Saccharomyces cerevisiae S288C: one gene and its partner. The protein of the gene in region 2 purifies or fractionates together with the protein of the main gene of each other region. This does not show direct contact. Each region holds a gene or a part of one and is shown on either strand. Other genes may lie near its edges. The genes, in order: NFU1 and ACO2.

Region 1 (3,139 bases), on a different chromosome or scaffold from region 2:
GGATTATAAGTGAAATGGTGGATGATACCATGGAGAGTGTTGGGGACGTAGGGGAAGAGATGGACGAAGCTGTTGATGAAGAAGTTAATAAGATAGTTGAACAATACACAAACGAGAAATTCAAGAATGTTGACCAAGTGCCAACCGTAGAATTAGCAGCCAATGAAGAAGAGCAAGAAATTCCGGATGAAAAAGTTGATGAGGAAGCAGATAGGATGGTAAATGAAATGCGTGAAAGGCTGAGAGCTTTGCAAAACTAGAGTGTTACTGTGACTGTACAAAGAAAATAAATAAATAAGTGAATAAATAATGGTACGAATAACACAGTAAAAAGGGCACCCGTTTTTAGTGTATGGAAAAAGTTGAGTGCTTTACCCTTTTTCCATGATGACCGTTGAAACATGTACGGACTATCAAGTAATAGTGAGGGTAAAGACAGTATATACACACTTCCTTTTATTTTCGTCTCATCTTGTATTTTCATTTGAAGGACGGAATATTTACTTTTCATGGCTTGTATTTTTACTCGATTCCAACTTTTTTTCAAGCTTATCAAATTCCTTTAATGCTATTTCTTGCTCAGGATCCATGATCTGAATCACTTCTTTCACTTCATCCACATAGTGCTTCAACATGGACTCAATACCGTACTTCAAAGTCACTTCACTAGAAGAGCATGAGGTACATGCACCTTGTAATCTTAAATAAACGGTTCCAGTCTTTGGATCCCACCCACGGTAATCGATATCACCGCCGTCCTCCAAGATGGCTGGTCTTATTCTTGTATCTATCAGCTCTTCAATCAATTCGCTGACCTCTTCATCTTCTTCGGTAAGTTCAAATTTGGGCATATTTATTTTGTAGCCACCTTCTCCTTCTTCTTCTTGGACAGCATGGAATTCTTTGGATATAACATCTTCACCGTAAGCAAGTTGCTTGGTTAACAAATCTATAATTTCAGGCTTGATACTATTCCAATGGACCATTCTGTCTTTATTAATAGTGAGAAAATCATCACCTATCATTAAAGACTCCACTCCTGGACACTGCAAAAAAATTTGCTGTGCTAACTTGGAATGGTTGATGAGGTTTTCATCAGTGTTCTTAATAACTATACTCTTGGAGCCACGCGTCTGTAGCATCTCGCCATCTGTGGAGAGAAATTTTAAAGCATTTTCATTTGGAGTTGTTAAAGTCTTAATATGAATTAATCTCTGAGAATTTAAGTAAAAAATCGGAGACTTCCCCAATTTAGCCACTGATTTGAACATTGTTAGTCAATTTCTTGCTTTTTTGCTTAGATTACGCTGAGAATGCCTTATGTATTCTAATTAGTCCGCTAAATACGCTTCTTTTTATAATGATTAATAAGCAATATTGTAAGTAGATCACTGAAATTCGGAAAACTTAAATTATTTATCACTTGATACGTTAGAAGGCTATTTCTACAATCACCAGGACTCCGCTAAGTGGTCCTATAGATTTGATGAAATGCCTGCTTTGACGGTCTTGATGATACAAGCTAACGCTTAGCATGTTACTATACTCAATGTACATTGTTTTATCCTCAAGAGACCGCAGACGTTTCAATTTTGTGTTTAAAAGAACAATGGACAGTATATACGTAGTGCCAATTTTCTTCTATGGTGTATTATGCGCATTGAACATTGTAATATCCGTAATGTTGAACATAATTTGGGAATTGCTTCCGAATCTTCAACCTTCATGTATACCTCTTTTCGGCTAGAGTGTGGTACTTTAATTACTGCTTAGTTGTTTTGCCCGATTTAGATATTGCACCCGTGCACGTCACACATAAGCTTGGTCTTTTAAATAGTGTGTGAAAAAACGAACTTGAAGAAAAAGATAGAGCAAGATATATATAGGAGTAGGAATAGGGAGAGTGGAAAAAAAAACTTAGCCTCAAACTAATAGTCAAGAGGATCAACTATTCTGTTCAGGTTTTGCAGGTTAAAAATTGAAATAGAATATTTTCTCGGTAATTTCAAGAAACAGCTGGTAAAAAGGCAGTAAATTTACAGAAACTAAGAGTGTAAGGGCACAATGAGAGTATATCAGTTTTGCCGACCTTTCCAATTATTCACCTGCTTCTTATGCTACCTTCTAGTGTTCGTAAAAGCTAACAAGGAAAAGATAAGTCAAAAGAATTATCAAGTATGCGCAGGTATGTATTCCAAAGAAGATTGGAAGGGCAAAATAGACCCGTTTATATCATTCAATCTTAAAAAAATAAGTGGATTGAGTGATGAGTCTGATCCAGGCTTAGTCGTTGCAATCTATGATTTCCAAGACTTTGAGCACTTAGGTGTGCAATTGCCGGATGAAGAAATGTATTATATTTGTGATGATTATGCAATTGATATCGGGATTTGTGAAGAGGAGAATCGTGATGAGTTTATTGTTCAAGATGTTGTATATGATCCATATACTTCCACAAATAGATCTTTGGCCAATCCAATCATGACGTTTTCTCAAAATGAGGTCGGCCTTCATGATACTAGATACCCAATAAAAGAAACCGGATTTTATTGTGTTACTGCGTTCAGATCATCGACGTCTACCAAGTTCAACGCTGTGGTGAATTTCAGGAATGCTTATGGTCAGCTTGCGGGCACCGAGATCAACAAATTGCCACTATATGGTCTTTTGGCGGTCGCATACGTTGTGGCGATGGCGTTATATTCCTTCGCCTTCTGGAAGCACAAGCATGAATTGTTACCATTACAAAAGTATTTGCTGGCCTTTTTTGTATTTTTAACCGCAGAAACCATATTTGTATGGGCTTACTATGATTTGAAAAATGAAAAAGGTGATACTGCGGGAATAAAAGTTTATATGGTGTTCTTGTCGATATTGACGGCTGGTAAAGTTACATTTTCATTTTTCCTATTATTGATTATCGCTTTGGGCTACGGTATCGTGTACCCTAAGTTGAATAAAACGTTGATGAGGCGTTGCCAAATGTATGGTGCGTTAACTTATGCAATTTGCATTGGATTTTTGATCCAAAGTTATTTGACCGACATGGAGGCACCATCTCCACTAATCTTGATCACCTTGATTCCTATGGCGCTTGCATTAATCATATTTTACTACATGATTATTAGATCCATGACAA
Region 2 (4,833 bases):
ACCCATAGTAAAAAGGGAAGACAATAACGAAATAAGAAGAGAAGAGAACCGTGGTTTCTCTGTTGCTTAGGATCATATACGCCTACAGCAAGGCACCTCTTTATGCGTATGCAGTCATACAAGGAGTGTGGAAATGCAGCACAGATGGCCTTCGCTGCTTGCCAGGCTGCCATTTTTCTTGGCTGCTGCCGCTACTACTGATTTTCTTACCTCTGCTAGAAACCAGTGGAAATGATTTATTCACAATCTAGCACCATGCAACATACATCCAAATCAGTGGAAATACGACATTATTAGCCGGCCCTTTACGTGCCAAAGGTAATAACAGTGAACGGGAGATGGGAAGCTTAATGCTGTTACCCGCTATCGGTTGTTGCTATGTAAACCAAATATAAATGCAAGCCAAAAAAAAAGGGTAACATAAGGTTAAGTAGGAGAAGGGAGATATTGAATGTATAAGGTGTCAGCATGTGGGGTGAGGATAATGAGTGGCATATCAGAAATTTGGATTGGCGAACTTAGAGATTACAAGTACGCTTTACGTCTTGATAGAGAAGAGTATCCAGCGGTGCTTGTTTACGAGTATGACTCGTCTTCTACTAGGAACTATCTTTTTACCATAAAGTACAGCGATCAGAGGCCGAACTGGCAGCTCATTACTCGTGACGCAGCTTTAACAGCTTACGACTTACTTAACAGAGGTGGCGAGTTCACAACTCTCAGCTTTCCGGGAGCCACTATTCACCGTTCAGTCAGTGAGCTGTCCCGATTGCATTAACAATATATAAGGGAGCAGAGCGAAACAATATGAGGTTCAGTAACATTTAAGGGTCGCTATTGAGTGTTTTGTGAGATATAAGTGAGTTTTGAGATAATTGTTGGGATTCCGTTGTTGATAGAGGCTACAATATTATGTATACAGAATATACTAGAAGTTCCCCTCGAGGATATAAGAATTCTCAAATGGAATCTATACATACTAATAATACGACTATTCCTCATTCCGTTTTCATATGTTTCGTTCCTATTACACTATCAATCCTTGCATTTTCAGCTTCCATTACATTTGATGACTGATTCTCAATCTTTATGTTATCTTTTTACACCACATGTGATAGTATACTACTAAACAGTATGCGGTAGCTATACTCTTTAATGAATGGGCGAAGCCTCCCTAGTATTTTATCTTGACATATCTAAAGGATTGCACAATATTGCGATTTGTTCTCCACAATGAAACCTTCTCAATAATTGTCCGATCATCCACCCATTTCTTAAGATGATAGACGATTCTTAGTCCAATAACATTGTATCCTTTACGTTCCGTAGAATATCATGTTGTTGATCCTCTTCTCAGCACAGTGCTTATTACTCTCACATCAACATCAAAAAAATTGCTTCATGATTAAAATGTTTGTGGAATATAACCGTTAAAATAGGTCAGGCAAATATAAAATAGAAGCTTCTATGGCCAAGTTGGTAAGGCGCCACACTAGTAATGTGGAGATCATCGGTTCAAATCCGATTGGAAGCATATATTTGATTTTTTAGCAATTAATTTTTTTTTTTTTTTTTTTTTCACGCTCTTGAGTCATCGCGAGTAAAATTCCACTGGAAAATTTTTTCAATATATACAAAGTTCCACAATATCATACAGCTCTCACATCGTAGATTATGTCAATAGATGGTATGGCATCAAACATGTATATAAACTAAAATATTTTCATCTTTTCGTATTATTCGATTTGCGCACTTGCAAAAATAAGAATTTTCGACTTTCTTTAAACATAAAACTCTAAGAGCAATAAGCAAGAGATTCGATGCTATCTTCAGCTAATAGGTTTTATATAAAGAGGCATTTGGCAACACATGCCAATATGTTCCCCTCTGTATCTAAAAATTTTCAAACAAAAGTGCCACCTTATGCAAAACTTTTGACCAACCTAGACAAGATTAAACAAATAACAAACAATGCTCCATTGACACTAGCAGAAAAAATTTTATACTCGCATCTTTGCGATCCTGAAGAATCGATTACTTCTTCTGATCTGTCCACCATCCGTGGTAATAAATACTTGAAGCTAAACCCAGACCGTGTAGCTATGCAGGACGCTTCTGCCCAAATGGCGCTTCTACAATTCATGACCACCGGTCTAAATCAAACATCTGTCCCAGCATCCATACATTGTGATCATTTAATTGTAGGTAAGGACGGTGAAACTAAAGATTTACCCTCTTCCATAGCTACCAACCAAGAAGTTTTCGATTTCTTGGAGAGTTGCGCAAAGAGATATGGAATTCAATTCTGGGGCCCAGGTTCTGGTATCATTCACCAGATTGTTTTGGAAAATTTCTCAGCTCCAGGTCTAATGATGCTAGGTACTGATTCCCATACACCAAATGCAGGCGGTCTGGGAGCTATTGCCATCGGGGTTGGTGGTGCGGATGCAGTTGATGCCCTCACAGGCACTCCATGGGAATTAAAAGCACCAAAAATTTTAGGTGTTAAATTGACCGGAAAGTTAAACGGATGGTCCACTCCTAAAGATGTAATCACAAAGCTCGCTGGTTTACTAACTGTCAGAGGTGGTACTGGTTATATCGTCGAGTACTTCGGCGAAGGTGTATCCACTCTATCTTGCACAGGTATGGCAACCATCTGTAATATGGGAGCTGAAATCGGTGCTACAACGTCAACTTTCCCTTACCAAGAAGCTCACAAGCGTTATTTGCAAGCAACTAATAGAGCAGAGGTCGCTGAAGCAGCTGATGTTGCTTTAAACAAGTTTAACTTCTTAAGAGCCGACAAAGATGCTCAATACGATAAAGTTATTGAAATTGACTTATCCGCAATTGAACCTCACGTTAATGGTCCATTTACACCAGACCTTTCAACCCCAATATCTCAATATGCCGAAAAAAGTTTGAAGGAAAACTGGCCCCAAAAAGTTAGCGCTGGTTTGATTGGATCATGTACCAATTCATCTTATCAAGACATGAGTCGTGTTGTCGACTTGGTCAAGCAAGCTTCCAAAGCCGGCTTGAAACCACGTATCCCCTTCTTTGTCACCCCTGGTTCAGAACAAATTAGAGCTACCTTGGAAAGAGATGGAATCATCGATATTTTCCAAGAAAATGGTGCCAAAGTTTTAGCAAATGCATGCGGCCCTTGTATCGGACAATGGAATAGGGAAGATGTCTCGAAAACATCAAAAGAAACGAACACTATTTTTACATCATTCAATAGAAATTTCAGAGCTAGAAACGATGGTAATAGGAATACAATGAATTTCTTAACATCCCCAGAAATAGTAACAGCGATGAGTTATTCTGGAGATGCTCAGTTCAATCCGCTAACTGACTCAATTAAATTGCCAAATGGGAAGGATTTCAAATTCCAACCACCAAAGGGTGATGAGTTACCAAAAAGAGGATTTGAACACGGTAGAGACAAATTTTATCCTGAAATGGATCCAAAGCCAGATAGCAATGTAGAGATTAAGGTAGACCCTAATTCTGATCGTTTGCAATTATTAGAGCCATTCAAACCTTGGAACGGGAAGGAATTGAAGACAAACGTGCTTTTGAAAGTTGAAGGTAAATGTACAACAGATCATATTTCCGCTGCGGGCGTCTGGTTGAAATATAAAGGCCATCTAGAAAACATTTCTTACAATACATTGATTGGTGCACAAAACAAAGAAACCGGTGAAGTCAACAAGGCTTATGACCTTGACGGAACTGAATATGATATTCCTGGTTTGATGATGAAATGGAAATCAGACGGTAGACCATGGACCGTGATAGCGGAACATAACTATGGTGAAGGTTCCGCAAGAGAGCATGCTGCTTTGTCACCAAGATTTTTAGGCGGAGAGATTCTTTTAGTTAAGTCTTTTGCAAGAATTCATGAGACAAACTTGAAGAAACAAGGTGTGTTGCCATTGACTTTTGCCAACGAATCTGACTATGATAAAATATCAAGCGGAGATGTTTTAGAAACGTTGAACCTAGTTGACATGATTGCTAAGGATGGTAATAACGGTGGTGAAATTGATGTTAAAATTACTAAACCAAACGGTGAATCGTTCACCATCAAGGCAAAACATACTATGTCTAAAGATCAAATCGATTTTTTCAAAGCTGGTTCAGCAATCAATTATATTGGTAATATACGAAGAAACGAATAAATTCTGAAGAGATATTAGCTAAAAATTAAGAGTCCGATTTAATAGTCATAAGCTAGTTTACACAATTCTATAGACTCTGCATATAGACGGTGCAAATAACCTACCTATTTATTTATTTATTTACTATAAAAAACGTAATATTGTTTGATATATAATATTATACACGAGATCTCGACTGCTTCAACTACGGCTTAACTCAAGGGTGGGGGGTATTTTGTTGTCGTATATGCAATATGTATGTGTTAAAAAGATACAATTATGTAAGTTACCACCTTTGTTTCATTTCATTCATTACTTGTAAACCTTGTAAACGTTCTTCGTACAATGCAGCTAGCCTGCTAACCTTGTTGCTTGCTTTAATATCTGAATATCCCTTTTGAGAGAATTTATCTGCTGTCTTTGAAGTAGTTTCATTTTTCTTCTTCTTTTCTTGTAGTTCTTTGTCGAACTTCTTAATCTTCGCGTTTTGGACGAGGGTTAAACTTTCAAACTGTTGTACGAATATATCTGTTTCCACAGAATTTTTATCCTTTGCTGGCTCGTCCTTAACCATTTCTTTGATATTATCTGATATCGTTAAATCGGTGCTGCTGTTACTCAATGGAAGCGAGTCTGCTGATGGAGTCTTCGTCGGTGAGGATAA

Evidence for each region.
Region 1: the proteins of ACO2 (region 2) and NFU1 purify together in Saccharomyces cerevisiae (affinity purification with mass spectrometry; 3 studies listed by BioGRID, with this or other methods). This does not show direct contact.

The regions. Positions count from the first base shown.
Region 1 is NC_001143.9:360,558-363,696, forward strand, and holds NFU1 (Nfu1p), read right to left. Parts: upstream 1,272-3,139; coding exon 501-1,271; downstream 1-500. Other genes in the region: ESCRT-III subunit protein VPS24, read left to right, coding at 1-260; PTM1 (Ptm1p), read left to right, coding at 2,065-3,139. UniProt on the Saccharomyces cerevisiae protein: Involved in iron homeostasis within the mitochondrion where it is involved in the assembly of iron-sulfur proteins.
Region 2 is NC_001142.9:55,801-60,633, reverse strand, and holds ACO2 (aconitate hydratase ACO2), read left to right. Parts: upstream 1-1,820; coding exon 1,821-4,190; downstream 4,191-4,833. Other genes in the region: MBB1 (Mbb1p), read left to right, coding at 452-778; ECM25 (Ecm25p), read right to left, coding at 4,456-4,833. UniProt on the Saccharomyces cerevisiae protein: Catalyzes the reversible dehydration of (R)-homocitrate to cis-homoaconitate, a step in the alpha-aminoadipate pathway for lysine biosynthesis.